Caenorhabditis elegans: one gene and its partner. The protein of the gene in region 1 interacts with the protein of each later gene in a pairwise test. Each region holds a gene or a part of one and is shown in the gene's direction. Other genes may lie near its edges. The genes, in order: fbxl-5 and pbs-7.

The links.
Region 2: the proteins of fbxl-5 (region 1) and pbs-7 interact in a two-hybrid assay, tested with the Caenorhabditis elegans proteins (2 studies listed by BioGRID).

The regions. Positions count from the first base shown.
Region 1 is NC_003283.11:7,740,069-7,757,042, forward strand, and holds fbxl-5 (F-box domain-containing protein), read left to right. Parts: upstream 1-8,794; 5' UTR 8,795-8,795; coding exon 8,796-8,947; intron 8,948-9,004; coding exon 9,005-9,295; intron 9,296-9,935; coding exon 9,936-10,074; intron 10,075-10,399; coding exon 10,400-10,585; intron 10,586-10,885; coding exon 10,886-11,125; 3' UTR 11,126-11,300; downstream 11,301-16,974. Other genes in the region: gtnt-40 (Glycosyltransferase family 92 protein), read right to left, coding at 11,876-12,041, 12,091-12,488, 12,655-12,905, 12,968-13,152, 13,199-13,284, 13,465-13,749.
Region 2 is NC_003279.8:8,683,604-8,699,424, reverse strand, and holds pbs-7 (Proteasome subunit beta), read left to right. Parts: upstream 1-3,123; 5' UTR 3,124-3,132; coding exon 3,133-3,164; intron 3,165-3,210; coding exon 3,211-3,316; intron 3,317-3,367; coding exon 3,368-3,546; intron 3,547-3,591; coding exon 3,592-3,703; intron 3,704-3,780; coding exon 3,781-4,062; 3' UTR 4,063-4,220; downstream 4,221-15,821. Other genes in the region: tlf-1 (TATA box-binding protein-like 1), read left to right, coding at 541-857, 910-976, 1,053-1,109; F39H11.1 (Craniofacial development protein 1), read right to left, coding at 1,925-2,059, 2,109-2,271, 2,347-2,391, 2,439-2,671, 2,720-2,818; K07A12.5 (Pre-mRNA-splicing factor SYF2), read left to right, coding at 4,281-4,302, 4,346-4,487, 4,540-4,651, 4,767-4,904, 4,951-5,069, 5,116-5,210, 5,255-5,372, 5,421-5,723 and 1 more; asg-1 (putative ATP synthase subunit g 1, mitochondrial), read right to left, coding at 6,035-6,205, 6,253-6,477; mrps-15 (Small ribosomal subunit protein uS15m), read left to right, coding at 6,934-7,014, 7,066-7,129, 7,180-7,268, 7,314-7,533, 7,581-7,651, 7,698-7,862, 7,915-8,064, 8,143-8,295; hbs-1 (Tr-type G domain-containing protein), read left to right, coding at 8,496-8,538, 8,588-8,647, 8,696-9,006, 9,132-9,350, 10,049-10,158, 10,210-10,439, 10,496-10,714, 10,762-10,829 and 4 more; hot-5 (Homolog of Odr-2 (Two)), read left to right, coding at 12,335-12,399, 14,972-15,043, 15,299-15,411.

The DNA.
Region 1 (16,974 bases):
TACTCAAAAAGTGGCACTTACCTAATCGTATTACGCCACTCTCATTCTCATCATCATCCCTCGTTCATCCCGAGACCGTAAAATGAATGAGGAAAATCGGGTTTCGAAGGCTTCGTTCTCAACACAGAAGTTGACCGAAAGAGTGTGATGATTTCAATTTGTTTTCCAATTAGCGTACGACCTTCTCGAATGTGATTGAGATTTCTCCATCGTCTCGAGTTTTCAAATAGTCTTTTTCAAAAGAAAGATATATAGAAAACTAATTTTGTTTTTCTCAACCTACTAAACTTTTGAGGAACATTCAAATTAAAAAAGAGGTTTGTCCAATAACCATTCATTTCGAGATTCTCGAGATTTATCTTTGGTTTCTCGATGTTTTATTTATCTGCAGCTGAAAAGACGTTTTAATAACTAATGTAAATTTTGTCGCCCTGAGATCCGGTGTGCCTCATCGCAGTTTTACAACTTGACGTTAAAGAAGGCGCACGGATTTATTCAAATGCTTATCGTCACGATAAATTAATTTAATACCGGACTGTATTTTTGAATAAATTTATATTTTTCTCAGCACTTCTTGTTGTTAGGCTTGCTTCTCGAGCTCCCTACATTTTCAATACTTGCGCTTCTAAAAAACCCAGTGATTTTCGCTTTCACCACTATCCAAGTGTTGTTATTGGACTTTGCGAATGTTTTTATATCCTCTCATAAAATGGTACTTTACCCTCCTTCCTGCCGTTCTTTCTCCAGAGGTTTTGTGGCGTCGGCGAAGCTCAAAAGCGCCGTCTGGGTTTTTATGTGTCGCATTTCAGTTACAACCACCACATCACCGAGAATATGTCGAATGCGAGGGGGTAGAAGAGTGTGAATAGTTTGTGATTCGAAGAGAAAAAGAGAACGAACATCGGGTGAAACGAGCAGAGGGGGGATAAAAAGAGGAGCCGGTGGACGGACGATAGAGGGGGAGGAGGAGCCGATGAAATGAATGCGCGAAATACGATACTTAGAAACATATGGGGAGCTTCTGATGATGACGATGATGATCGGAAGAAAGGTTTAAAAACTGCCTACTTCCGCCGACGACATCTGTGGGTTTTTTTGTCATTTGGCGGAAATAATTTGTTCATTTTTTTGAATAGAGGCGTTGAAGGTAGTACAAAGGTGAGTGCAGAAAATAAGTCAAAAGTAAATAATTTTTCTATTCCCAGATATCTGTCCAGCTCATTTTTGCTTAATCAGTACAATTGAAACTCACTTTCTATGATTTTTTCTAATCTTGCTGAACTGTTGAAAGCAAGTAAAAAATATGAACCTTTTTTAGATAGTCATTTGAAAGTACACAATTGAAAATTGTATTTGGTAAAATGTCAGAAAAAATGTCGAAAGAAAATTTAGACTATTCGCAAAGACTTACACTTCCAAACTGCAGGAAATTTTCAAATCTTCAAATTCTGTCGTCCATTTCTAAAATCAACGTGTCACCCAGTCAATCAACTATTCAGACACCCTTGAGAGCTCATGGCGCCAACCTTGGAGCGCCCGTCTTTTTTTATCCACCATCTCTTCCTCTTCCATTTTTGGTGACGTGCCAATCATCTTATAACTGATTTATTGAATGAGTGTCCAGGCAGTAGCCGCACCCACCCAAAAACGTTGAAAACCTAGTCCCTTTCCTTAACCATCGACCATATTTCAACAATTTTATGGGCTTCGAATGCGCCTCCTAACCCAGAAGTTTAACTAATATTGTCCCCCGTTTCTTTGTTATTTCTTTATTTCCTTTCATTCACCTACATTCGTTTTCATGCGGCAGGGACTCATTTTATTATACGGTTCCGGTTAATACCCTCTTCTTCTGTAAAACCTCAACGGTCACGGCCATATGACTGATTTTTCGAATACCAAATTTTATCACTTTCTGGATTAGTCTCAAAGAAAAACTGGTTCCCTTTGTAATTTCATTAGTTGTCTACTAATTCTACAGTATTACGCCACACACTCTCTCTCTCTCTCCTTCCCTCTTATTAGAGCCGATATGATGCAACTTGGCAGGTGATGAATTGTGACGGCATGATTTACAATAGACGTACAGGTGGCTCTTGTGGTCTTACCGGATATGGTGCATGTTATATTAATGTAGTGGCTTTTTTTTCAAAAACTTATAATTTATTCTCATTCTTCTTTTTTTTTTGCAATACGTGTTTAACAACTCATACCCCGTTTTTTTCGGTGTTTTCTAAGAATTATTGCCTGGGAAAACATTTTGTAACTTTTTTTGAAACGGTAATCTAAGATATTTTTTAATTGAATTAAATTACTTTTTTTCTAAATTTTTTTTGAATTATTTGAATGTTTACTTCAATGCAAATTGGCGACAATCGGAAGAACTCTACTGGAGATTATATCCGTAGAGGAAAAGATCCCAGTAAGCGACATTATCTATAAAGTTGAATCATTAAAAAACGTTGAAGTGTAAAACCAAACAAGCAATTCCGTTTTCATTTTAGCTGATAAAACTCAAACGTTTTTTAAAATGAAAACAATTTCAAAATTATCACTTCCCTATTATTCCTCTGCAACTGCCAATCACTCGGCAAACTATTTTTAAATGAAAATGTCCATCAAATCTATCACAAAAAACCTCTGAAACGAACAAAAAAACGAAATCGACTGCTCTGCATTTCTCTAGACCCTCGTGTAAACCCATTAAACCTACGTTTGTGGGTCATAAAACAGTTGGTGTGCAAAAAAAACTGTGGCAGTGAAAGAGCCCGAATACGTCAAAGAGGGACCGATAAGGTCTGAAATAAAAGACTATGTTTGAGGGTGCGTGTGGAGTTCTCACCTTCTGTTCTGACTTTCTTTACTCGTTGAGTCAAGGTGAATGAGCAGATGTTCAGATGTGGTCAATATCTGATTGACGACGATGTTTTTGGATGTTGTAGCACGTAAGTTATTTTTTTTTCAGTTTTTGTTTGTCGTGAATATATTCATGAATTTAAATTAGGTCTAACGGCCTAAATATGTTTAGACAATAAGTTTCAATTTTTGTTAAGCTGGGGGCTTTTTCCTGGGTCTTTTCTTGTAGTTAGGATTACCTAAAAGTTGTAACACCTATGATTTCAAATGTGGAAAAATATATCGGAACTAAACCTGTGTTCCTAACAATCTCTTACAATTTTTCTCGTATTAGAAAGGGTGAGCTTTCCACAGTTATTTGCTGTTTTCAAGAACTCCTATCGCCTATCGACGTTCCGTTTTTAGCTGAACTCCAACGAATTAATTAATGGCGGAGTATCGTCATTGAAGATTTAGATGAGAGAAAGAAAAAATTTAGAAAAAATTAAATTTGCAGCATCTTTTGGTAAATTGGCATAATTCAAAAAAAATCATACACTTTTTTTTTTAATTTCGATAATTTCTCCAGAAAATTTTTGCTATGAAATTTGGTTTTTTAGTTCCATACGTCTGATTTTAAACGATTTCTCCCATTGCAAAACTCTACCTTCAAATTAAGAAATGTTTAAATTACACTCTGTGATTGCCAGACAGTATTCAGAAAATAGTCGATAGGCAGGCAGGAATTCTCACCTCGGTCTCCTCTTCAATTTTTAGCACCTCTGTCAACTCATAGGTGCGATCCAAATTGAGATTTACAACCCGTAATAAGACTCATTTTGCCATTTGAATTATTCTCTATGTCCATATTCTCAACTATTTGCATTTGATTAGTACAAGAGCCCTTTCACCTGTTCGGTGTGCACACAATGCTCTTGAGATAATACCAGGTGGGCGGGATTCTTGAGTCCCTTTGGCTTGCGGACACTTCTCCAATTAGTCTCCCTTTTCACTTGCGCAACCAACTTTTTTTGCCCAATTTTTTGTAGCTACCTGTCACCGCCATCTGCTCATTACCATTTGCTTCTGGTAATTCTGTCTGATTTCCTGCGCACGCAACAAAGACAATGCCATCATTCGTTTTTACTGCTTGCTGTTCGGTCAGATCTTGGTTAGAGATACAGTACCGCCAACAACTTTTATGACTTTTCCTTAATGGGGGTGCCTCCTGCTGTATCATCTGGAAACTGTTACCTCCGCCTTCTGTCACTTTTCGACAATTCCGATGATGGCTCAAAAATTGTTATCAGTCGGGTCTTGAGGCGGCGGCAGGCACCGGCCGGCACCGAAACTGACAATGTCGACCACCTGTCAATTATTCTGAATGCACTTTCCCGCAAATACATGCATATAAAGGTGGTCTCGTGAACGATGATGATACATGCACTATACCCCGTTTGTTCTTCTTATCACTGTTCTGCATGCAAGCTTAGGAGGGCTCTTTAGTAATTTATTCAACCGAACAAATAGTGTTGTAGCAATTTTGTATATCAATCAAATTTAGTTTAGCCTCTCATTTTTGTAAAACTTGTTGCCGTTATACGGATTTTCGTATCACCAAATTTAGATCCTATTTGAAATGTTCTTCTTTAAAAATTTTTAACGAAATTTTTCTGGAATTTGCAGGCTAGATACTCAAATATCAGTAATCCCGTTCTATAAAAACATGTTTCCTTTAAAAAATCAAAATTTTGAAATAATTGTGTAAAGAGGTGCTTGCTTAAAAAATAGAGTTCCCTCCCTTTCTTAATAAAACAAATATATGTCTAGAATAATTCTAACTCCAAATAACTGAAATTTTTCTGATATTGACATTTTATGCAAATGACTGACTGTCAATTAAGTATTGGCTCAGTGCCAACACGGAAAATATGTTGCTTATAATTTCACTAAAATAAAATAAAGTCATTAAAAATTTTGCGGCAAAAACGGAGCCAATGGCAGTCTTTTCACTTCACAAATTTCAAATAAATACAAAAGTCTTCTGGCTTATAAAGTGGTGAATTAAAATAGTGAGTTAACTAATTAATTGTTTCTTAATTTTCCAAAAACTCCCCACTACCACCCTTCCGTATTATTCCCATCCCGAAAAAATTTAAACGTTTCTAAAATGCATTGTTGTCAATGCACATTGTTGCCACCCGATTGATTATCCCCCTTCTTTTAAGAGAACTGATGACAAATTCTAGTACGCCACGAACGTCTTCCCCCTCCTCCCCCGTCTTCTATCTTGCCAAGGTGACTGTGTGTTGTTATCTTTCGGTCGCGCCAAAAATTTTCCGCTTCTATGGGTACCGGGTTTTTGTCCAAGTCGACCCATATGGTGCCAAATCAAGCGGAAAATTACAAGGTTGGAGATGGTGACGGACCGCCCGAAAATCTTAAGATGCTGTTAGTGATACTGTAGGTTTTTGGAACTTTTTTGTCTTTCTGATTGTAGATCGTCTTAGGTTTTAACATGAGCAGTTATTTATTTGCATTTATTTGATAAAACATAAAAATTTCACATTTTTTCTCCGTACCCTTCTAAAAATAAGTCTTTTTGAAATTCTACTTCCAGTCATAACGATAATTTTTGCTTCAAAACAGTGTTTCCTGTAGATTCATTTAAATTTAAAATTTCGGAAAATTTTTTGTTGAATGTAAACGTAACAACCACAAAAATCTGCGCCCTTTATTTGGTATTCACATTTGAATATATTTTTTGAATTTTTTGAAAATGTTCCATCAATTTTTAAGACACATGTTTTCAAGAAGCAGATCAGTTTATATTTCTTGATTAGTTATCAACTTTAAGCACCAACACATTTCCCCATTTATAATACTATTTTAGTACCCTTTATTTTGTCTACTCCTCTTCACTTTTGCCCTTTTCTGACGGACCGATCAACTCCTTCTCTCTGATGAATTGTTGAAGCGGAACATCTTCAGATGTCATTATTGATATTGATGGCTTAGTACTTGAGTTTCAATTACAAGCTTCTGAGAGCCTTCTCTCAGAGTGTCAGAATGTGTGTGCGCACACCCTTTGCAGACACACACTTCACTGGACAAGGGGACGGGGGACGGACGGACGGGTGGGCCCGAATTATGAGTGACAAGCCTCGGACACACGGCCGAGTCGACGACAGCTAAAAGTCTCGCGGGAAGAGCGCGTAAGATGAAGAGACGCCGACGTTTCGAGTATGGGATCCTTGGAGAGAGCGCGACGATGAGAGTGTCACCGGTGAGAGAAGAGACGTCGATTGGCGGCGACAGTTATATTAGTGTCGAGATGGATGAAGTGCTGACGGAGATTGACAGTCCGTCGTTGCGACGAGGCCCGCGCCATCTACTGAAAGAACCACACCTCGGGGAAAAGTAGACAAGGCACATTTATTCGCTGAAATGACTGATCAGAATGACATTATTCTGGGTTAAACTGATTTCCCAGAGGATCCTTATTTTTGCAGTGTAGCTGTTAATTTTCTATGAATATTTAAAGTGGAAATATATAACCACATTTTATGAAGATGGCGTCAAGACGTATTAGGGGACATTTTCTGTGTAACGCCTACTTGGTTTTTTCAAAAAAAAAATTGATCTGGATTTGTTTAGGCCTTAGCTCAGGTTCTGGTTTAATGCTAATTTTGGGCTTGAGTTTAGGCTTAGCTGTAGGCTGAGTCTTGGAAATAGGCTTACGTTCAGACTTAGGCAAGGACTTCAAACTGCTAGGACTTCATGAGGTTGCGGCTTGGGCTTGAGCTTAGCCTTACGCAGTCATAGGTGGGTTTTAGGATTAGATTCAGGATTAGGTTCAGGATCCTGCTTAGTCTTCTGTTTATGCTTCTGATTAAGCATCAGCTTACACTTAGTTCACCTAATTATTAGCCTAGATCCGCGAATTTAGTGCAAATCTTAAATTTCATTTCAGCCTAATTTTTCTGCTCAGCTTGCCCACCAATCTAGTTATCAGGGCTGTAAGCCTTTTAGATCAACCTTGAAGATAGATCCTTCTAGATCACTGTCACATTTTTGACAGCTTATGTCGGATAACTGCTCCAGTCATTCAAATTTATCTGCGCTTTGTGTGTCATTCAAAACTTTCAAGTACTTACCGCTATCCTCCTCTATTTCTGCTTTCTCCTTCCTTGCCTTCTCCTCCTTTTTCAAACATATTCATTCTGAAACGCACCGCGGGCACGGAAAAAAACGTCCAGGCATCGCTCATTTTGACGGGGGAGAGAACCTTTTGCTCCGAGAGCCCTACACCGCCATCACCGGAGCTTACATACACACAGATTTTCGGCAGATTGTCACTTTTTTGTGTCCGAGTTGACCTGTCTCGTTCAAATGATTGAAATGTAAATCTCTTTCATATAATGCTCTGTTTTCTAAACTCGTAAGCTTCAATCACTCTTTGAAAAGGACCAGCGTGTCGGTTTGAAGTAGATTGGCAAATTGACAAACGGGTCGAAGTTGAGATATCTGCCAAACTTCTACGAGAAGCTTTTTTTATATTCGGCTAAATCTCTGTCAGATACTCATGACTTCTTCATTTTTCAAATGTTTGCGTCAATTTGCTGGAAATCTTATTTCCAGAATAATTATTAACATTTTGAAATTCTAGTGGCTCACATGTAAATCCCATATGCGCTGATGGCCTACTTAAATGTTTTGAGATTCTGATTCTTTTTTATTTTGATTCTTACGGGCAAGCCGTACTAAATTGGTTTTAAAACGGCATTAAAGGCGCCAAACTATACATTAAAAGTCAAAAGCCCATAACTTGGTTGTTTAGCATATTTCCATCAAAGTTTTAGAGTAAATTTCAAATTGTCTAGCTATATTTCAAGACTATTAGAACTGAAACTTAAAATTTCTAGAAACCGGAACCTAAACTCAGTTTACATTTTTCCCAAATCTCCCAAATCATCTTCCCAAACAGTAAGCTAATTTGTCACATCCGTCCTACTTTTTTTCTTTCACTCATCCTAATCTTACTATGCCATCTAATTTCTCTCTCTCAATAGATTCCATAACTGGTTAAACCAACAGAACCGTCCGTCACCATATTCCCTTATTGACACCCGGGGTGATTTCTTCATCTGCTGACCAGACAAATTGGCACCTTCCGTTACTTTTTTATTCCCAACTGCAACAATATATGATAAGCGGATTGTCATTTCCATGATGTCTTCTGTCCGCAAACATGCACTACGCCAGTCAAACCAGCTGTTTTCTCCCGTGGACCTGCCAATTTGTGCGCCTATTTAAGGGGGATGGCTGATTCGTTTTCAAGTGACGTCTTTTTTGTCCTGCTCCGTATCTTGTCATCATCCCTCTTGTCTTCCTATTCTCATCTGTAAATTTGACATGTTAATTGACACATAATAGTGATGCGTTCATCATCTGTAGCACAATCTTCCCACTTCCGGTATGCCTGTCTTCTCGGATATCTGCGAAGAGACCCAGATTGGTCGACAGGAAAATTTGGTGGGGAGGCGGAGCCTACTTTTAAATCATTTTTCGTCTCGAATCTCTCTGGTTCTTCACACATGTCATTCACCTGTTCCATTCTCTCATCTGAATTTTTTGCATTTCTTGTCACTTTTATTTTCCTGCAAAAAACTTCCGGATTGTCAGTTTGCCAAATTGATATATACTTTCTTTTTTTACAGTTTAGCACGTATTTAGCACAATTTTTGTGATATATGAAACTGTTAATTGAATCGGTCCTTCAGCTACAAAACCCAGGGCAAACTTTTTCGAAAATTTTCTACAGAGTTGGGCCAGCCCACAACATTTTATGAAAACGTACTCTATTTTTTTTAAATTTCTCCTACCCTCGTATTGTTCTTATCCGTATTTTTATCACTAGAACTTTTCCAATTAAAATTGTTACCTTTCAAATTTCCAGAATGGATCTCAGTAGCATGCCTGACGATGTGCTCATCCGCCTTCTGAATACCGCCTCCCCGAATGATGTGGCTCGTGCAAAACGGCTAAACAAACGATTTCATCAAATTGTGGACACTTTTAATCTAGGAAAACCTCGTGTCAAAGAGTTTTGGTGAGTTAGAAAACATCACTTTCTAAACTTTTTCAATGACAGTATTCAATTTTTCAGCGTGGAATCTCGTGTCTCACCAATATCACCTTCAAAAATCGGTCGTCTTCGTCTAGGATCCACGTCGAATGCTCCAAAAAGACGTGTTGTAGTCACGATGAGAAGGGATCGTGGTGTGAAAAGATCAGAGAGAATCGAAGATCCGTCACGCTCAACCTCATCAGAATCCGCGAATTCGTTTGTGCAGGAGAATTTGAGAAAAGTCGAGTTACAGGAGAAGCTTTCCTTTGATGGAGTTACGTTGGACGAAGAGTTTTACAAAATGCTCACAGCGAAGAAGGAGGCGTTGAGGTTGGTTTTTTTTTTGAAATTATAAACTTTTAAAATAAAAAGTATCTAAAAATCCCTGCCTGCCTTTTAGAGCACTTCTTCGCCTGCATCGTTCCACACGAGTTTCTGGTTTTTTTGGCTAGTTGAAAATTCAGAAATTCCATAAACGGCTCACCATTAAGTAAAAACGAGCAAACAACTTCAAATTGAATAGTTCAATATCTGACCAATTTCACTGATCATCTTGCGAATAAGTACAGTAGTTTTGTAAAATAATTTTTAACGGCACATTTTTTTGCTCCAACTATGCTGCAATTTTTTCTTATGTCGTTGGATATATTATGTAGCTCTTTTTGTAATAATATCTTGCAAAAAAAAGTTTCTAAATCACCCGATGACTCTTCAAAAATGCCAAACTGTCCCAAATGTATTACTGTAAACCGTCAGAAGGTAGCCAAACTGTCATTATTTCGTTTCTCTGCCTCCCTTCATTTCTATTGGACAACCCCACAGACACACATCAAAATGTCGAAAATGTCAAACAAGAAAAGTGTGTGCCTAGAGGAGAAGTGGGAGGAAAAAGAAACTGAAATATTATATATACATTTTTGACTTTTTTGACTTTTTGACACGTGTCAACAAGCCAACTTGATCGTTACAGACATGTCACCACGCTGGCGCTGTCACTGTGTCATATCCGACTCTCATGGACACAATTCATGGACTTGCTGTCTCGAATGACCATCAAGCATCTATACATTGATTTCTGCACATTTCATCCGTCATTGATCTCTGACAAGGTAAGGATTTTTTTGCAAAAAAAAAGATCAGATTTTGACAAAGTTTCCTAGAAATTGGGAACACTCGCGTTTGAAAGAACACTCAGAGTTAATTTGTTAACTAATTATTTTTGTTCATTAAATATTTAGAAGTAATAATAATATTCAATTAGTCCATAAGAATTTAATAAACCTTCAATCACGTTATCTCAATTGCCTACCTGCATACCTCATGCAGACCTCAATAGTTCGAAAACCAAAAATATTCATGGATACATTTTTAAACAATATTAGATTGAAGAAGTTGGAGTGATGATGAACCCACCATCATTTGTACAATTTTCAGGTGCTGATGTCTCTAACTCACTTGGAAACAATTCAAATTCAACCAAGATATCCTTGTTTTCTCAACGAAGTTACTGATCAAACACTAATTCACTGGGCTACACGGACAACAGCGCCAAACACAATCCAGTTCAGAAATGGGTGTGCAAGTCGAATAACAGTGGATGGAATTAGGCATTTAATGACTGTAAGTTTAAGATTGTAATATGAAATGGGAGAAGTATTTCTATTTGGACACAAAATGAGAAAGTTTGGCCCCCAATTTGGAGCTTTATGGCTATTTTTTTCCAGGATTTTAACTTTTTAAACTTGACACGTAGCCACAAAAATGTCAACCTCCGCACCGAAAAAGTTTTCGTAATTTGTTTGAAAGGTTGCTTACTTTAGTGTTTCAGAATTAATTCTTGTAGGGAAATTTATCGCTATGGGAAAAAACTCCTTAAATATAGTCTTTAATTATTCCTTTCATTATTTTTCCTGTTTTCAGAGAGCACTCTCGACTGCTTCAACGCCTAACAAAATGGACTTGGATTTCGGACTTCTTCTAGAACCATCACAGTCTGAAACTTCACTCCTCACTTTTATCCTGTGCCCGGGACTTGATTTCAAGGTGACCGACGACTTTCGTTCCCGAAAAATCAGTCTAAGCCGTGGCAAGTTCTGCCTTCAATTTTTCATTCCAGCACCTTTTCCAATTGGTCCACACTCTGTGGCGATATCACCCTAATTTTTTTGTAAAATTGTTTTATGTTAACAAATTTTCTTTTTATTTTGAAATTTCCAGACACTTTCCATTTTGCTTTACGCGGGTTTTATCCGTCACATTTCCGTTATTTCTTTTTTGAATTTTTGATAGTGAATTTATTTATTGAACTCAAAACTATGAAATTTTTTCAAATTGCACTTTGTCTTGCACATTTCGTTCAAACTTTTACAAAAAAGTGTATCACCGGAAATTGGAACCCACAAGTAACAAGATACATAACACATGAAACAACGACAAATCTGCCATCATCAAAAAATTTTTATGATCTAGTAGTTATAAATTGCATGTTAAAATCTAACAGTAAGATTTTATATCTCAATTTACAACTACAGTACTGTAGCTACTGCAGTGTGCGTCATTGTTAGGGAACCCAACATTTTTTAATATTGAAAGCTGAATAATATTCTTTAAAATTTTTTACAATTAATTGGTTAAGAACATAAAAATTTAACATTTTTTAAAAGATACCATGTTATCGTGCATATTCTGCGCAAAAATTCGAAATTTTCAATTGAAATAGTAAAATTTATTCGAATCATTTTTTATTAAACATAATTTTAAATTAACTGTTTTCACAATCAGTGAAATGCTAACGAAGACCAGTAAACTTTGATATTAAAACACGACAAGTGAAAAAATAAACACGTTTTGAGATCAATTGGAACTATACTAAAAAATTATTTATCTAGCACAATAAATTATCCATAATCATCAATCATAGTAATTGTCATAAACGTATTTTGCTCTCCGTTTCACGTTTTCCGTCAGTTTTCCAAGAAATGCACTTGGATAGTCAGTGTCTCGTAGAGCACCAAATTTCAGAGTTGAATTCAGCCATTTTCGTCCCCAATCTCCAAGAGACAGATCACGGTAATGTCTGAAAAAATAGACTTTTGGACAAGTTAATAGTTACAATTGTGCTTTACCTAACAAGTCCTTCTTCCGGATCAACACGAATTTGCACATAATTCGAACCATTCGTCGCAGGGAAAAATTGTGTTACGTAATGAATAAACATGATGAACACTTTCGATGTATCAACAATACATTTTGCAGTATGTCCCGGTGGACCAATTCCACTCGAACTATGCCATCGATGAGTTGGCATCCATTTGTCCAACTGTCGATCACCTTCATATTTTGGTGGCATCAGTTCAGTTTTCATTATCCATTGCTGTCTGAATTGAATACTCGCAATACTTTCATTTTTGACGACCTGGACGTAATCCAAAATTGTTCCCGTATAGTTTGTCATGTAGATTCGTTCGTCTAGATCAGCGAAGATGGTCCATTTTGTCTCTCCGCGGGACCATATTAAGCAGTCCTGAAACATTGGACAGTATCAAAAATTGAAAGTAATCGGTATATTTTTTCTTGAATCTTCTTCCTGTGTGCATGCAAGATCTACTATCACAAATTACTTGGCACAATACTTATGCATGTGACACAACTATTTCTAACTTCTATCATTTCAGAAAAAAAAAACTCACCGCAAGATTAACCATATGCCAATGGTTATCAGCCCGCATATCCCTTTCGATAAGATAGTGTACTTCAACTTCTCCCGTTCTCACATAATCATTAATCACTCTCATATCATATTCGGAAGCATGATGGATATGAAGGTAAAAGTGTTGGACACCTTGTAACTTGAAATGCTCTATCATTTCGATAAACATCAACCATTTTGGTTCATCGCCGTAAATGGATGCAACACACATGGAGAGTTCGTATTTTGGTTCTAAAGTTTACAAAGTTTTTTTTTTTTTTTTCAAATCGTTAAAAATTGTAGATAAAACTCACTTTTCAGCATTCTATCAATAATTGGTAATGGAAAAAAGTCTCCATTCTTTTCGACACTTAACCCAATTTTCTTAGTGCCGTCTCTCTTTTTACAGCTGACAATATACTCTGGATACGTGAGACTTTCAAATGGGATTCCAATTTCGATATTGTTATCATCAAGGTAACGACAGTAGACGCGATGTCTGGAATTATCTGATAGTGAGATATGATCTAAAATTGAAATCTCACCCCATACGTTTCCAAGAAGTTGTTGTAACAGTAATTTCGTGCTCAAATTCATATGCATACAGCGTGCTGATGTTGCTGGCTGTTTTCTGGAATACGTGAAAATTTTGAGGTTTCACACAAATTATTAAAAAAATATTATGCATATGAAAGGGCTGGCTAAAATTGTAGAGCTTTGGTAACCCTTTTTTAATCAGATGTTTTTAAGAAGATTAAAAAAACCATCTTAAAAACAACTGAATCTTCACGAAATTTTAAAAAAAACTTACCGGTCTGTCATTTGTTTTTCTAAACAATTGAAATTGATACCAGTCAAACCGATCGAATCCATCAATAAAATATGATTTGTTTGACAAATCCAGTGTTGATGGCACATTTATTAATTTTTCTGATTTTTCAGCATTTGATTCCAGTTTTCCGCTCGTTGGTGACGATTCCGTGTAGCATGGTGAAATTCGAGAACTTGGAAATAATTCTGGCTTGTTGGTAAATATGTCAAAGACTAATAATAATAATAAAATGATTATTAGTATGAATTGATATATCCTCTGCATCTGAAAGATTTCAAATTAAATTATGCGGTACTTTGAGGTTTAAAAAATGGAACTTTTGAGAAAAAATGAAAATTACATCCTTCCTACGACGAAAATATTGGCACATGCCAGAATTATTTTATTTGATCTGGACTGAGAGTAAAATATCTTCACTGTGAAACAAATATTTTCGCTGCAGAAAAAATGTTTCAAAAGTTTACAAAGTTCAATTTTAAAAGAGAATTAACGATAAAAGCTATAAAAAAACGAAGAAAAAATAAACTTCCACAAGGGAACAAATTTTCAAAAAATTATCAATTTGAAAAAAAATCAAATTCCACATGGCCTCAGAAAACTTTGGCATTTGAATTACCTTTGCTCACATATGACCTCCGCGTGTCCTTTTTTTCGACCTCTGGAGAGCGTGGTAATGTAAGGGTATGATTTTTTCCAAGATTTTCAGAGAGTTAATACGTTTGAAACGCGAAATCTCATTTTTGAAGAGAAAAATTCGAAAAAGTATGGAGATTACACTTTTGTTCTTGAATTAATGAAATTTTTTCGACTAACTCAAAGTCGCAACAAAATGTTTGTCTGAAAATGTTTTATTTACAAAATTTTATTTGGAATTAAACTGACGCGTATAAATATAATTTTGATTAATGATTAGACTTTTTTTTTGTAAAATAGAAGCTACCATTTTTTAAGTAAACCTCAAAAACTTTTCTGGAAAAAAATTAATAAGAAAAAGGGTGTGGTCAAAATAAAATGAATCAGTTTTTAATAAAATACAGAAATGCAGAAAATATGACTACTATTGGAGATTGCGTCAAAAGTTTCCATGACTGATGTAGTTTGATTCAGAACTTTCTGAAATGACAATCATATGGGTGTGTAGCCACAAATATTCAAACATTTATAAATCATAAAATTTGAGGTACTCTTGTAAAATCTGATAAATATACATGAATATAAATATGCACATGAATATATACATGAATATACATGATGATGATTATACATGATCGAGTACAAAAGTATTCCAATTGTTTGTTTTGATCATTTTATTTTAATATAGAAAACTGTGAAAGGTGTGTTTTTTTTCAATTTTCAAAGAATTGTTAAAGTTTGCAAATAAAGAAACGTTCGTGATGTCTCTGGTTTGCTCGGAGTTGCTAAGGAGAAAAAACGGGGAAGGTATAAGATTGAGGAAGTGTTCAAAATATATATTTCATTAAATTCTGTTTTTTTTTAATACTTGTAGTCTGAATTTTGTGAAAATCCTTCAGAAATTAATTAGTTAGTTCTTCTAGAATATATTTCTGCAAAATACCTTTTTAGAGTCAAACTTTTGTAGTAATTATAGTATTTTTAAAACATTGACGATAATTAAATTAATTTAAAACTCGACTCATAAAAGTGAGCTTTAATCCATGGGAACCAATTTTCAAAGAGTCTTCCTGAGCCGATTATATTTTTCGGTAAAAATAAATTTAAGGCAACATGCAATAGATTTTGCTCATAAACCTCATGTTTGCACCTCAAATTAACTATAATAATTTTCTAATTTTTCAGGCATCATTTCAAACTTTTAAGAACAAAATTAAGAACACAATTTAAAAAATAAAAAACAGATACTAGCTTGAACGTGTGTAAAAATAAATACATCAGAAACAGAAAGGTGTGTCTTGAGTGTTATCAGGGTGAGTTCATTTGTATATTTTAAGCTTTTACGACGCCATAAAGCTTTGATGGGAGCAACGTATTTTGCACTGCAAATTTGGAATTGATTTTTCATTGTTTTAGTTCTAAATAAATCTGGTATTTTCAGATAAAAGCAGGAACTACTCTTTGCTAGAAAACTTGATTAAATCAAGCAAACGTTCGAAACTTAAACATGAAGACCTTTGACTGAAACTGAAAATTTTCAACACAATGTTCTTTTTAAAGTTTCCAGGATATTGTTCAATATGAAGATGTTTTCTTTTTTCATGACTCACATCTTAATATGGTTGTGTGAATTTGACTTTCTCTGCAGCCACATAATAAAAGCTGGCCAGTGTGTTTTTGTATGTGGCGTGAACCGTTTTTTTTCATTCAGACAAGGAAGGACAGCTCGATTTTTGAAAAACATTTTATTTGAGTAATGTTGCTTTTTTCCAAGCCACTTCACACAACCATATTAAGATGTGAGTCATGAAAAAAGAAGGCTTGGAAAAAAGCAACATAATGAATTTACACATTTAAAGTTTCAAGTTTTCAATAAATTCTTTATTTTTCTAGAATTAGTAGTAACAAATAGTGCAACTCAACATAGAAACAATTTGAACTGAGCGCAGACCTAGGTCTAATCAGAGCTGCTGTTATCATTGTAAATATGTATACGATGCTCGTGTTATCACATTTTACCTAAAGTTTCAATGATTAATTGCAGAATAGTCTATGTCTAGATACATGTGGTTATGAAACATTATGTACTCAAAAATATTCAGAAATCTTACAGTTCCCGGTGGTAATTACTGACCTTTGTCGATTTTCTGAAATTTGAATAGCCAGAAGGCAACGGACGCCTACACCTCATTAGAAGATGTATTTTTTCCAATGCTCCATTCGAAATGTAAAGTACGGCAAGTGAGGGAGAGATTAAAATTCATTCCTGTGGCGCTAAAATTGCCAAATGTAATAACAAAACTTCTTTAAATGATTTTTGCAATTTTTTATTTCTAGTCAAAAAAAAAGATGTGAAAACTCGGTTTTTATCATTTTTTTTTTTGGAAGTCGTCGCGTTATGATACTTTTGGCGCACCCTGTACTTCTGTTTGCCTAATATCACAAAAACAGTTGGTTAATGTGAATGTAATAACAATAATGACATACATATCCCATGAGATCATCTAATTGTCTACAACACAAAATTTTGGTTCTAACAGATATTATTTCGTTTACTCAAAAATGAATGGCATTGAATGCCGGTTAATTCAAACCACTTTTCACAAAATTTCCACAATTTCATCGATATTTATGAACTTGCTGCTGATCATTCTCGTCGTATTAAGATCTCCGAAAAGCATGAATGAATACAAATACTTGCTCATTGGAGCTTCAATCTTTGAAATATTTTATTCAGTTATTGAATTTGTTACCTCCCCAATTGTTCATTCATTTTACACTGTAGTCATAGTTCTGTCCGATATAAGATGCAAATGGTTATCTAGAGAAATTATGTTGGTATTAATATGTGAGTCA
Region 2 (15,821 bases), on another chromosome or scaffold:
CGGTTTCAAGATCTGGTGGGGTTCCGGATCTACGTTTTGGTGCCAGATCTGGAAAACGTAGAACCGGAATCCACCAGATCTTGAAACCGTGGTGCCCCCATTTGGAAACAGATTTTTTAACAGAATTTTTTTTTAAAGCTGAAAACCGTGCAGTTTCATTGAAAAACGCAAACATTGAAGAAAAAGACTACAATAAACTTTTTGCGCGTCGAGACCCATCTGAAGAAAGTCGTGAGCCTTTAAAGAGCCATTTCAAAATTTGAAAAAAAAAATTACGATACCACGTAGAGTCAGGTTGTCCCATCACGGTGTGATCTACAATAAGTGCGGGTATTTTTGCTCAGAAAAGTGTGACGTCAGCACATTCTTAACCGTGCGACACCAGTTGGAAACTCTACGTCACGTTTCATTTTTTGTAGATCAGACTGTGATGGGACATTCTGACACCACGCGCGATACCGTTTTTGTGTGTTTGTCAATACCATAAAATTTTGCAACTTTAAAATATTTATCTAATTATTAAGTTTATGTGGAATTTAGGTGAACAACGTTCTGGCCACGTGCCGTCTTCCATTCGGAATCAAAATCGAAGAAGTCGCAGCAAAATATCCATCAGAATCCACATATGAGCCTGAACTTTCCGTTGGTCTTGTTTGGAGATCTGTGACACCAAAAGCTACTCTTCGAATTCATACGACTGGCTCAATTACAGTCACTGGAGCTCAATCGGAAGCCGATGTTCTCGAAGTACTCTCAAAGATCTATCCAATTGTTCTAGAATTCCGATGTCTCGAACGAGCCAAAGGAAATGTCGCTGCTCAGAAGAAGAGGAAACGAAAGGCACCTGTTAACAGAGGGTAAAAATTTGTAAAATTCTGGCTTCAATGTAAAAATAAAATAATTTTTTAGACCACCAATCAAACGCGAACGCTTTGATGACAGCAATTATAGAAATTCTGGAGTTATCAATAACCAGGTATGCAAATAAAAAGTGTTTCGGTGGTTTGAAAATAATACAAATTTAATTTTAAAATAACACATTTTTCTTTCAGGTCTATTTCTCTGATGAAGATGAAGATCTGTATGATGAGCTCGATTTAGAAGAATAGTTGTACCTAATTGATGCAGCCTACCCATTCATTGTAATTTTTAAAAAATCTCAATTTGCAATCATTATCTGATTACCTTTCTACATCATCTCGTCATAATTTCTCTAGTTTTAGCTTTCTATCTTCCAGTATATCTTGTTCTTTCAATTGTTCTGTGTGCTTCAAAATTCATGCTTTATCCGCTTTTTTCCTGTTCTTTTCTTTCTCTGTTTGCCGTTACCATCATCAACATCATAAGTCATCATCGAATCAACACAATCTCCTATCCATTTTTTTGTAAAATTAACACAATGATCAGAAAAACAATTCTCGCTTCCTTCTAGCTCTTTCTCTCTCCACATCCCACTATGTGCTCTCTACTTCATGTCTTCATCATGTTCCCCTCAAGCCCAGCAAATCTTAATTTTTCCTTATTTTCCATTATCTATTTTTCCTCATGAATCCCAGTTTTAAAAACAAGTAGCAGATTTTTTTTTGTTCTGAAACAATTCGCAAAAATTCCACAAAAAGTCCTTAAAAACAAACGAGTTCGTATTATAAAACTGTAACCTACCTTTTCCCAAAGTTGTTGTATTTCATTTTAATTATTTTAGAATGTGATTTTTCTACAATTCCCTTTTCATGATTCATCCTTTTTCTAGATTTAGTTATTGTCTCCCTTTACCATTTTTCTCGTTTTTGTCCATTAAATATGTTCATGATTAAATTTCAATGTCCGTATCTTTACAGAAGGTTTATGAATTTTTCAAAGTTACGAATTGTCAAAGAAACCAGAAAATCACAAAAAAGATTCAATTGAAAAAATAAAGAATTATTTACTGTCCAGTGTCCTTACGAGCTGTTGCACGGAACGCTCGTTCTTTTTCAAACTGGCGATTATCAGCTCGGTTTAAGAAGTCCATTTTGTTCAGATAACCGCCTTTCCCTCGGTTATGAGATTCCAAATCTTCCTGAAAAACAAACAATTTATTCAAAAACCTTAAACTTAAAGAAACATACTTTTAAATTATTTTGCGTCGTAAAATCTTTCCAATCTCGATCAGATTTCTCCAAAACAGAAATTTTAGAACGCTTCGACAGTGATTTTGCAGCATCAAGCAAGCCGACTCTTTTCTTTCCGGGTACAATGCTACTTTCAGACGATGTTCCAGCTGTTTCCGTTCTGAAAAAAATTATTAGAAAAATAAGAAAAAGTTGTTTTTAAATTTGTATCAAATAAAAACTCATGTCAACTCACTTTTTCGGATAAACCTTCTGATTTGTAGACTCGTTGGATGCAGATCTGTAAAATACATTTTTAAAAGTTATTTCTACTTGTTTCAAACATACGCTGCTGATTTTGGATACACCCTTTCTTCAGTTTTTGGAATATTCTTGCTTGATGTATCGTTGACAACTGGTTTCGGTGCTAGCCCAGTTAATTCTGCAAATATCGCATCCACATCAACACTTCCTTCAGTACTGTTTGCCTTTTCTGATGTATGGTCGTCACTTTGTTTTTCATTTTTCAGATGTTCAACTTCTTCGTCAATTCCATCTTCGCATTCTTCTTGATCATCGATCTGTTGAGGAGAATGAGCAATAAAAGGGCGATATCTAGGAATGCTTACTTCATCCTTTGGATCAAAATCGGTATCCTTTGTTGGATCGTAATCTTCATCGGACGATGAGTTGTAGTCTTCTTCGTTATTTTTAAGCTCCGAGGTCATTTTTCTGAAACAATTTATATTTTAAATAGTTTCACAATTTCAGTGAGAATTCAAAAGAATAAAATATGAATTAATATATTTATAAAATATGAATTAATTTATATTATAATATTATCTCAAAAAAAGTAGCGCGAGATAATTTTTCTTATTGAAGTACGCAATTGTGCGTGGTATTCAGTGTAAAATTCGACGGAGCGCACATGCTTTATGATGACTTAGCCGCCATTTTTGCATTTCATTGTCGAAATTCACTTCCTTTCATTTTTTCAAAGCACTCCCTTCAAAAACTTCATTTATATTGTTTCAGAACCAAAATGAATGCTCACGACGAAGTCCAGCGCACACTGTAAGTCATTAAACCTATATTCGTTTGAATTAACTCAATTTTTCAGGAATCCTACTTGTACCGGAACATCGGTTATCGCTCTCCAGTATAAAACTGGGGTTGTTGTCCTTACTGATCGAGTTGTTTCCTATGGAAAAATGGCTCGTTACAAGGTTTGAATTTCCGTTCAGCTGAAAGTGGATTTTCATAATATTTGTTTCCAGAATGTTTCTCGTCAATACAAGGTCAATGATAATGTTCTCATTGCCTTCGGAGGAGATCACGCTGACTTCCACTGGCTTCAAAATGTGATCGAGCGTCAGGTTCTTCTCTGGAAGCGCTTCGATCAGGATATTGGACCAAAAGCTCTCCACGGATACCTCACAAGCCTTCTCTACGCCAAGTCTGTTTTCCTAATTAAATTGAAAGTTTAAGTAAAAAATTTCAGACGTTGCAAGATGAACCCAGTGTGGAACACACTTGTTGTCGCCGGAGTCGAAGAGGAGGAGAAGAACAACAAGGAGACTAGCACACCTTTCATCGGTGTCATTACTCAGAAGGTAAACTTGAAAGCGTTAACTTGCCGGATCAGAATCTCATGATTAAATAATCACATAATAATTATTCTAAATTTCAGGGATGCGCATATCAAGTGAAGCACATTGCAACTGGACTTGGAGCGTTCCTCCTCAACCAAGCTGTTGAAGATGAGTGGAGAAAGAAGGGAGAAGACCTCTCCCGTGAAGAGGCAGAAGCCGTGCTTCGCAAATCGCTTGAACTTACTCTCTACCACGACTGCGTCGCTGACAATGAGTTCGAAATCGGACGTGTTGATGCGACAGAAGGTGTCGTTTTGGGTAAAGAAGAGAAGATTATTGGTGACTGGTCGATTGCCGAGACTAACTGTCAATATGAATAAGTTTTCCCCGGTGTGCAGGATGCGTTTCAGTATCTCCATGTTTAACTTATTTGTATCCTTCTTTTCAAAACATTTTACTCTCTCCAACCCACGTTTTCGGTGTAAATTTTATTTATTTTCGCGTGAAGTCGATAAATAAACTTCCATTTAATCCTTCTATTCACGTCTAAGTATTCACACGCATCATTTCACAAGTGCTCGAGTCAAAAATAGCGAGCATGAATTTCTCTGGTTTAAAAAGTATGATGAGTTTTTGGTTTAAAGTAAAATCGAGCGCTTTCAGGTAAACTCCAAAAGCTCAGTTTATCACCATCGCCTGATAAACAGAAATCTGATTATGAAAAGAAACAGGCGAAGAAGATGAGCTACAAAAAGAAGATGCAGCAGCGGTATAAACTGAGTGATGATCAGTATGAAACTCACAAGTAATTAAATAAATTGATGTATATGTAATAACTTATCTGATTTGGTTTCCAGGAAGGATGCTCAGAAACAACTGAAAAATTGGGAAGAATTTCGAAAGGAGCAAGTAGTTGAAATCTTTCATACGCAGTCTCAATACGTTTCGAAATCGAAAAATTCAGACGTGGTAAGCATACAGTATATATATATATATATCTCGCCGCGCAAAGGAAGTGCTTAATTACGGTTTTTACTATCCATCTAAAAAGTTAAAAAGAAATACATTATTTCTTGAAATTCAGCGCCATCCAAAGATGCAACGAGCCAATACGGTTGTCAATCGTCAAGGAGTGAAAGTTGATGTAGAATTTGGACGATTGAAAGAATACTACTTATCCACTTTGGCTCCACAAAAAAAGTTTGTGTCGATTCGTGATCACGTAACATAGAGATTATAGAGAAATTTACTTTAACCATGAACTTTAGGCAGCTCGTGAAAAGGAACTGGACGCTCTTCGTAAGAAACAGAAAATCAGTTTGGAGCAAAGGAAAGATAAACAGGACAACATAAAAAAGTCCCAAGCAGAGTACGATCAGATGAAAAGGTTTCAATGGGTCGAATGGTTTTATGTAGAAATTATCATATTTTAGCTTATACGCTGCCCCTGTCGATCCCAAGCAAACAAAAGTGGAAACAATGGAGCAAAAAGAAGTTTTAGAGCCAACAGCCCCGATGGAGAAATTCGGTAAAACTACGAAACAATACAGAAATCGGAGTGTTTATTTTCAGTTGTGAATACCACTGACGACAAAAGAGCCCTGTTCCCAGCCAGTTGGTATCAACAACCGATTTCCCGTTCGCAATTGAAGAAAGGAAAGATGATTTATTGGATGGCAAAAGACGAAGAGTAATTTTCGTGGCTTGCATCCGTTGGATCTTAATATTTGAATTTCAGAGAGGATATGACGTTGGACGATGATCCAGAGGGAAAGTACACGGTTACTGCTGAAAAGTTGATTGAGACAATGACTGCTGGGGGGAAAGTTAAACATGCTGGAATAACAGAACCACCTAGCAACACAGCAAACACCATCATGTCCGAGTCCTTGGCATCAATTAATGCGAGATACAAGAAGAGTTGTGAAAGAAATGCTGTTTTCATGAATACCTTGCACGGTACTATTGAATTCAACAAGAAACAAGTATCTGTAGATAAAACCCTCTCTACAAGTTCAATAAGCCAGGATGATGCGACCGAGTAAGAATTTCGAAACTGATTTTTCTCTAACGAGTTTTATTTTTAGCGCTCCGAATCAAATCATTTTTGCTCCAACAATCACTTCTCATGTTTTCAAAGGCCGATCTCTGAAAAGACAGTATGCAGTGAAAAATAAGGCACTTGAAACTTTTGAGGAAGATCGGAAGGATTACACTCGAGAGGCTGGAGAAGAAACTAGTGGATTGTAATTTTTTGTATTGAACTAGAAAAATAAAGCCTTAATTTCTTTTATCTAACAAACGTTGAAGAAAAAACACATATTTTCACAAATGAATATGCTTATCGATGTATTAAGCTTCGAGGGCAGCGAGTCTCTTCTTTTCGGCAACCTTAGCCTTTGTATCCTTCGAGACATAATTGGCTGGAACAATGTACCCGAAAATGTAGCGACGTCCAATCATTTCTCCGACAAAGAACCAAAAGACTACCTCGAGGGCAACTGCCGAGTAGACGAGACTTTCCTGAAGTTATTTTTTATTGAGTGTTGTTTCAGCGTGTAACAAATTACCTTGATACTAAGGTTGACATATTGCTTGGTCTCAATAAACTTCTGGAGCTTAGCCCAGTCCGCCTTGATAGCTGGGATGTCAGCAGACCGGGGTGGAGCCAGCTCGTGCTTTCCAACAGCCTTGAGAATAGCGAGACGGCGTGGGAACTGCTGAGCTTGATGACGGTAAAGAGCTCCAAAGGTGTTGGCCAACTTTTCGAAGAAGCTCAGCTTGTGGGTCGCCATCGCTGAAAATTTCGAGTGTGAATGAGAGAATGTGTTTCGAAATTAATAAGGCAATAAAATTGGGAGACGAGGGAATCAATTATTGAATAGATCATTAAAATTTATTTGTTCCTTAAATGAAACTTAATAGAAAGGGAATAATGTTGCCCATGAGTGCTCATTCATTAAAAAAATCCCCCAAAATACAAGCAGCCCGTTTTAATCAAGACAGTAGTATATTTGAATCGTGGTGGGACCCTTTAAGCAATCGAGAAAGAAATCCTTGGTTTTTTTAATTCAGCGAGGCTGTCCGCAGTTGAGCGGCACGGTGTTTGCGGACTTTTACAAACCGTATCTCATTGAGTTCCAAGGCGCCGTGGAAATTTTTTTTGTTTTAATTTTCATGAATGATTAGATTAATTAATATTAAGTCAGTTTTGAACGGTATTTTTGTTCAATTTTCTATAATACTTTCAGATGATAAATCTTCGAAGATTTGTGCACACATCGTGTCGGCTGGAACGAGGAAGAACAGCGTTCTACAACGTTCATCAAAAAGTGGGTGGAAAAAAAAACAAAACTAGCCACAATTTGATATATCATTTTCAGGTCACCGACCCAGCCAAGCAAGATCCGGATTACTTTGAGAAAAAAGCGAGAGAACTGCCACTGGGTGAGTATATTCAAGTACCGAGATATATATCTCTATTAAGTGATTTTCAGATCAAAACTACATCGATGCACTTACGAAGCTTTACTACGAAAAAATTGGCAGTGAACGCGATTTGGGTTTGAAAGCAGCTGATAATTTGGTATGATAATCAAGAGTTTTATAGATATAAGCAATATTCTTGCAGATTCTCGAAAAAACCGAATTCGGATTGCCTCGTATTGAAAAATCGAAAACTCGTGCGAAATATGAAGATTTAGATGTTCTTTCGAATGCTCCAGAGTCTGTCAAAAAGATTTTTAGTGTTGAAATGGCGACGAGAAAAGAGTTGTCACAAGAATGGAAACAAAGTCTTATCAAATCAGTAAGGCAGCATTCTCTCGATGAAAATAGTTTGGAAATGAAAAGTTTGTTTGAGAAATAATCACAAAATATTATCTAAAATTAATTTCAGTTGCCTGGCTAACGGCTTTAATTCGGCATTGGTCTCTTCTTGTTAATGACATTGGACAGGAAACCAAAAAAGTAGTTTAACATTTTAAAAAGGCAATATTTCTAACATTTATTGCAGAAGCCAACATGGCTCACCCATCGAATCTGGCTCGTAATCAATGAACGCCGTAAAGCTCTTCGTATTTTACGTGAACGTAATGAGACTGCATTCGAGAAAACAATTGCCGCTCTGAAAATTTCGTATCATGTACCGAAACAGCCAGCTCATGTGAAAACTAGAAAGGTAAAGTTTGCAAATTGATAACTTTAAACACTAAAAAAACAACAAATTTCAGGCATGGGCCGAAGCACAATTAAAGTTGAGAGTTGAAAATGAAAAAGAGAAGCGATTGGAAGAATTGCACGAAAAGTACGATAAAGAAGTTGAAGAGCATAAAAGAGAGACACAAGAGAAGAGGAAAGCATTGAATAATGAATTGGATAAAGTAAGCAAAATATACACTTTGAAAATACCCTTTTTAAAACTAATTTCTGAAACGTTTCAAATTCAAACGAAATTTCAGCTTGCTCAAGAAATGCGCCAAATTGACGTTATCGAAGGAAAATCGTTTGAAACAGTTGGAAAGTATGAACCAGCTTTAATCTCTTCACTTACTGAAACTGTTATTCATTCAAATCTCTTCTATCATCCACCACCAACTATGACTGAAAAATAATCTCATTTAGAAGTTCAGAATTTTTTTTGTTGTAGTAGGATCTTTCTTATTATTGTTATGCTATTATTGAATTAAAATTTATTATCCCTCCATGTTTCTATTATGATTTCGTTAAATCGGTTGTAAATCTTCCGAAACTTTCTATCTATTTGAACGATGGGAAAGAAAACTTGCGAATTAAATATAAAACAGTTCTTCAGATGTCCCGCCACCGTGCTATTCGAAATTTAAATTTAGAAGATGGTAAGCTTCAAAAAAAAGAAACCGAAGATTAACAATTTTGTCTTTTCAGAAATGGACGACGATTATGACGACGATTACGACGATTATGAAGATGAGGAGAACCCGGAAAGTAAGAAAAACTTTATTTTTCATTCAAATAATTAATTAAAATTTTCAGAGCAATATACATATGATCGTAATTCATTATCCACAAACTACTATACATATCTGACAGATAGTGGTCGCAATTCACCAGCTCTTCCTGCTCCACATCCTGGTATTCCATCATCATCGTATCATCCACCTGTATCAACTCCAACACCTACTGCAGCTCCAACAACTTCCCTATCTTCTACTATTGTACGAAATATGACAGCTCCATTGCTCCATCAAAATCAAAAACCACCGAAGAATCTTAATAGTCGACCGAGTACACCACAAACGTCTAGCAATTTGAATACTCCAAAAAGAACGCCGCAAGTTAAAAATGTGAGCTCGAGAATACTTTAAAAAATTCAACTGTAACTTAAGTTATCACGTAATCCAATACGAGAATTTTCTTTGAAAGCATCATTTCGCATCTTATTTATATCTTATATATACTAATTTTTCAGCTTCAAGCAGAATCAACAACTCCAACTGTGAGCCGCCCATCTTCTGAAGTCGATTTAACATCATTTCGACGCAATCAACTGCAGAACATCGCGAAAGCTCCGTCAGTTGCCCGAAAAACACCAAAACCAAGAGTTGCTGATAAAGATTTAATTAACTTGATTGTCGTTGGACATGTCGATGCAGGAAAAAGTACTCTCATGGGTCATTTACTTCATGATGTAAGTTATTGAAACTTTGAAAGTGTCGTCAAAATTTTTGGTAGAACATGAGTGAGTGTCAAGAATGCACACTTCGAAACTTTTCAGATTTTTCAACATTTTCAGTCATTTATTTATCGTTGAGTAGTTTCAAGCATTGCTGCAGTCTTGAACCCTGAAAATGATTAAATACGAATAATTACAAAGTAATTGAAATCTAAAGCCCTTAAAATCGTTTTATTGATGAATGAAAATCAGGGCGGACTCCGAAAACAATTATTTTCCGAAACCGGAAACGAAAAAGGTATTCTCGACAAAAACACTCAAGTTATAATTTCGAGTGTTTTTTTTGGATAGTAACACTGCCAAATTTAAGAATTCGTCAGTTACTTTATTGATCTCTTTTTTTTCCGAAAATATCTAAAAATAAATTTTCTTCAAAAGCAGGAAAAAAACGGAAACCGAAAAATGTACAGCCCTGATGGCAACAACAGTAAAGAATTTCCTTTTTTTGACTGTTACTTAAAACATTTTTAATTTTTAATAACTTATACTTCGTGGCTTGTTCGAAGCATTTTAAGTAAATTAACCCCACCGGCAACAGGGTTGTAGATTTTTTGTTCTTCCCTTTCTTCGTGTTTTCGGCGAAAAAAACTTTTCCTTTTCGTTTAAAAAAAATGTGGGATTCACTCAACTTAACTAAATTCTCATATTTCCAGCTTGAAGTGGTAGATAGCCGTACAATCGACAAATTCAAACATGAAGCGGCTAGAAATGGCAAAGCTTCTTTCGCGTATGCCTGGGTACTTGATGAAACGGAAGAGGAACGGTAAGATGGAATTAAAATTGATTTTTGTTAGCCAACCAAGCTTTGTTTTAGTGAGCGCGGAGTTACCATGGACATTGGAAGAACAAGCTTCGAAACTTCACATCGACGAATCGTGCTTCTCGATGCTCCAGGACATAAAGATTTTATTTCAAATATGATCACAGGAACGTCACAAGCTGATGCAGCCATCCTTGTTGTGAATGCGACCACCGGAGAATTTGAAACAGGATTTGAAAACGGAGGACAGACGAAAGAACATGCCTTACTGCTCAGAAGTTTAGGTATCTTTAAAAATATAAACATATCATTCTTAGGTTCTGCAAGAGACAATTTTCAGGAGTAACACAACTTATTGTGGCTGTGAATAAACTGGATACGGTAGATTGGTCCCAAGATCGATTCGATGAAATCAAAAATAATCTCTCCGTGTTTTTAACTCGTCAGGCTGGCTTTTCTAAACCAAAGTTCGTTCCAGTTTCTGGTTTTACTGGAGAGAATTTAATAAAACGAATGGAATTAGATTGGTACGATGGTCCATGTTTATTAGAGTTAATTGGTTGGTTTAAAAACCAAACTGATCGTTTGTAATTTAAACGTTTTCAGACAGTTTCGTAGCACCGCAACCACCTTCTGATGGACCACTACGAATTGGAATCAGTGATGTTTTGAAGGTTAGAAGAAGTTATTTAATATCGTATTATATTTTAATTTAGGTTGCATCGAATCAACTTGTCGTTAGTGGTAAAATTGAGTCAGGAGAAGTGGAAAAAGATGATAAAGTATATATAATGTCAAGTGTTACTGCAGCTACTGTGAAAGGTAGGTAGAAATCGAATTACTAATTTTCCATTAGAACGAAGTTTTTTAGAATGCGCAAATAATGACGGTTCAAGGCACTGCTTTGCTGGAGATTATATTCTATTGACTCTTCAAGGCACATTTGAACCTGAATCCATTCAAACAGGCTCTGTTGTTGTACGTGCTGGTCCAGATACTCTGATTCCATCGAAAAAGTTTGAAGTTCGATTGGTTGCCTTTGAAATTGCTATGCCTATTATCAAGGTATACTTTTGCATTTCAAATATAAATTTAAAAACGTATTGTTTTCAGGGTGCCAAAGCCGAGTTATATGCACATTCTTTGTGTGTTCCATGTACTTTCACCAATCTTCTGTATACAATCAACAAATCAAATGGAGAAATATTAAAAAAAGGACCGAGGTTAGAAGAGTAGTACAGAGTATTTAGAAATATTTTAAGCGCATTTTTTTTAGAAAATAGTTTAAATAATTATTTCCAGATTTATTGCTAAAGGAGCGTCGGCAGTTGTTGAAATCGAAACTGAATATGATATCGCAATTGAAACATTCACAAGTTGCCGAGCTCTTGGACGAGTCACTTTTCGAGCTGGTGGAAACACAATTGCAGCTGGAATTGTCGAGAAAGTGATCACTCCACAATAAATATATGTTTATTGCTTTCCAGTCACAAATAGTTTGCTCTTTTTATTTCTATTTCTCATTAGTTAATATCAATTCTATTCCTTTGTGATTCCACTGTTTTTTTTTCATTTGATGTACCAATTTCTATGGCCTTTCTTTTTAAGTATGTGCTAATAAATTTAATGTTCAACTTTAACAGTAATTTTCAAATAGCAAAGCACACAACGTAAAATTAAAACAATGTATCTGCAGAACCCGTGAGTTAAATACACTTACGGGGACAAATAAAAAATATATTATCTGTACTCTTCAAATCGATTTCACTGAAAAAATCTCAATTGACACATAAACATTTTTAAACGAGAAATATGGTTCCCTATTAATAGATAGTGTTCGGCAATTGGAATGGCTATCTGAGAATTAAATTTTAAGTGACAAACCACAATTGTTCAAGATTTTACGAAATTGTATCACGGAATTTTTAATTTCATTCCCATTTATCAAATATTTGCGAAAATGTTTAATTTGATCATTTCCATATGTTAATTTTCCTACTATGACTGAAAACAGATGTTTCCTCATTTCATGGGGGCGTGTCTACAATCATCACTATTTCCATTTCTTCATTTCATTCATTCCTCTTTCGTTGCTTTGACTCTGACTCCGCCCACCACATTTTCGCCTTTTTTCCGAAATTCTCGTGGTCTCCATCTCAACACCACTGATGGATGTAAGATGAGGCAGCTGCCTTCAATATTACTGATTCTTGTCTATTTTATTCGTTCTGTGGAATTGTTAAAGTATGTTTGTCTTTTATCTTGTAATCTTAGAAAAACACATATTGCCGTAACAATTTCCGACCTAGTTTACCCTAGGTCTAAATAGTTTCCTTCATCCCTTTTACTTGTTGAAACTCACGCTCATGACACTCAATCCAGCTTGATAAGTTTGTAGTTAAACAACTAATAAAAAAGTACGGTATCTAGCATTCGCAAAAACGTGCAACACTTAGGTTCTAAAAACTAACACGTTCAGTTTCTTTATGTAAAGAACATGTTAAATAGTTAACTTTGAGACTTGCCATGATCACTATGTGGAGAGATCCAACTAGAAAACAGCTTGCTAATTACTTTTATGGTGCTCAAATGGCTAATCAGTGTAATAAATGCATTTCCAAAAGATTTTTGAAACTTTTCATTCACAGTCAAAAAATTCAAATTAGTTGGTTTTTATCATATTTAGAAGCCCGACCGAAAATAAGCGTTTTAAGATTCTTATATTTTGTTTATTTATATTTGATTCGAACAAACAAAAACCTTGAAATTATCAAAAACGTCCAAATTTTTTGAAAATTTGGCAAGTTGCCGAAACTTAAAACTAAACTCATTGTAGAGTGTTTTATTGAGATATTTATTTTTTGACACACTACTGGCGTTACTCCACCTTTTCAGGAGACAACTTGTATGACTAATTTGTATGACTGTGGACCTAAATAAATATTTCTTCAGAATTTCCAATTTTCAACAATATTGTTTAAATGCTCCAAAATTACCATAATTATCATAATTGAACGCTCTGCAAATTCTTATATTTTCAAAATTACAATCAATGTGCTTGTAAATTATCAAATTTTTTGAAACTTTTGGATTTTTTGGGAAATTTCAATATTTTCTGCAGGCTCAAACTGCTGCGAAAATCAAATACACATCATTTACAAATAATTTAAACTCTAGATGAAAATTTTAGGACACTTTTTTAGCCGATCTGAAAAATTTGGAAAAAATTAGGTTACTGTCCCTGTTTGTCTTCACATAAATAAATATCGAAAAGCTTTTAAAAATCCATTTAAACATTTTTTTCTTACTCCACATTTGTTTCACATTATCTTTGCCAAGCTCACAAATTGTGATATTTTCAACATTCAGTTAGTTTTCAATTTGATTGTAAAATCAAATTAGCCGGTGTGCATTTCTAATAGGAGCTTTCAATTTTGGACATTTCATAATTCAAATCTTCAAATTATCCATTATTGTTGTTGTTTAAAAGAAAAGAATAGAAATAGAGACACAAGAGATTTCCCTCTTCCTCCCTGATTGGCACTATTCAAAAATGTATCCTTCTGTCGTTTTCTCAAATACTCTCCAAATCGTCTACTATTTGTCATCAGCTTTTGACGACGCTTTTGTATTCATTCAATGAATATAAATCGTGTTGGAATATTTACTCAATTTCTGATATTGGGGGAATGTTTTTGATAAGAAAATATCAATATGTGTAATGATATTTTGGCAGGAGAAATATTGAAACAAATTCTTAAAGTGACCAAACAAATTTGCAAGTTACAAAACTTTGACTTCAAACTTCTGAGAGTGTCTTCTATTATGATGTTTGGTGTAGGTTGTAAATCAAAAGCTTGAAAACTTAAATAATACCTTTTTGGCAATTATCCCCCGAAGTACAAGTTAAGCTTCTGGAAACCACCCCATAACGGTCAAATTTTTCATGGAATTCAAATTTTCTAGTGCTTGAATTACACCTCTGATGGGTAACTGTTATAAATGTACATATGTAGACAAAAGCTCCACTGATAATACTCCACTTTTAACTAAAGTTTATAAAAACGCCTGTTTTCAAACTTTTGTTTGTCCCACAAAAACATAGAACTTTGTTGTGAAACCATCAACTGTTTCCCTTTTAAAACTTCCATTTTTGTTTTTTCTTCATTTTTTCTATTCAATCTGAGCAGAAGACTCCCCAAAAAAGGAGCCATACAACAAGTCCCTCAGGTACATACACAATGAGATGGCACCTAATCAAATTTAGTACTACATAAGGCATCCCGCTCTTGCTACTAAAAACATTTCACAAAAGATCCATTGAAATTTCAAAAAAAAGGGGAAAGAATCTGGTTTGTGGAGAAAGAGGTAGTGAGCCAGCCTACTTTAAGAAGAAAAAGGAAAGAGGGTTTTACGATTTGGTTTATCTAATGGGAACTTGAATACTACAAAAAGATCATGTTATTGATAAATTTTATTTTAACAATTTTCAAGTAAATAGAGATTTCGCTGCCCAAAAATTGTATAGTTTTCAACACATTTCTTCATCATCTAATTTGAAATTTAATACCAAAATTCTCAAACTTTTCCTTTCCCATTTATTTCCCTATATTTCTCTATTACTCTCTTAGAAGCTATTGAAGGAGAACTTTGGGTGGTGAGGGTGTAATATTTGTTGATTTATAAACAAGAAATGTTTATAAAATTCCATAGAATGAAGCATTATTTTCATGCTTAGTACAGCTATGAGTAAGAGTTTCCGTCAGAAAATAGGGAATCGAAACGTTTGAAAAAACACTTCAACTTAATTTTTCAGATGCTTTTCCTGCGCTTCATTCGAATACAGAGTACTTTTCGATAAAGACACTTCGTTATCGAGAAAAGTCAGGTATTAACATTTTTATTTCAAAATATATGATAAGTTATCACAATAATTGGTAATTTTTAACATGAAGATATTTTGTTGACATATTTCATTACTGTACATAAACCTTTTCAAAAAACTAATAAAAACATAATTTTTATTAAATTGGTTTTTTGTTTTTTTTCACAAGTTGATTTTTAAAAAGATTTACTTCTGATCTGAAAAGTGTTTTACATATATTTTCAAGCATATTAAATTCAAATTAAGATTATTTTTCAGAGTCCCCAAATTCGATAGATTATGTGATTTGGAAGAGATGGTTCGTGGTTATGCACCAGTTGAAGCATGCCATTCAACATGTGTCACTATTTTCGAACCACAGTATTTTGGAGGTTAGCTGATTTTTTTTTTGAAAACTCCTTTGAATTTTCTTTGCCGCGCAATATTATAGTCTCCTAGAATGTTATTCTGTTTAAAAAACCTGTCCCACTAAATATTTTCAATACTAAGTAGACATTAGTAATTTTCCGCAAACATTTTCATGTGGAAATCTTACACTTCTGAGCTAAATTTTTACGTTTTTACTTCCCATCCATTAACGATACTCCATTTTCTGAAATAAAATATTCAAACATAGCTGTCTGTAGTGTTTTTGATAAAAATTTTGAAAGTCCGATTTTCGATTTCTGTAGAAGTTGTTTGAAATAGGACCCTAGGTAAAATCAAGAATGGTTTTTAATGAAGCTTTCAAACTACTGCCATTTTTCAAAAAAAAAAGTTTAATTGAAAAATGCATTTTTTC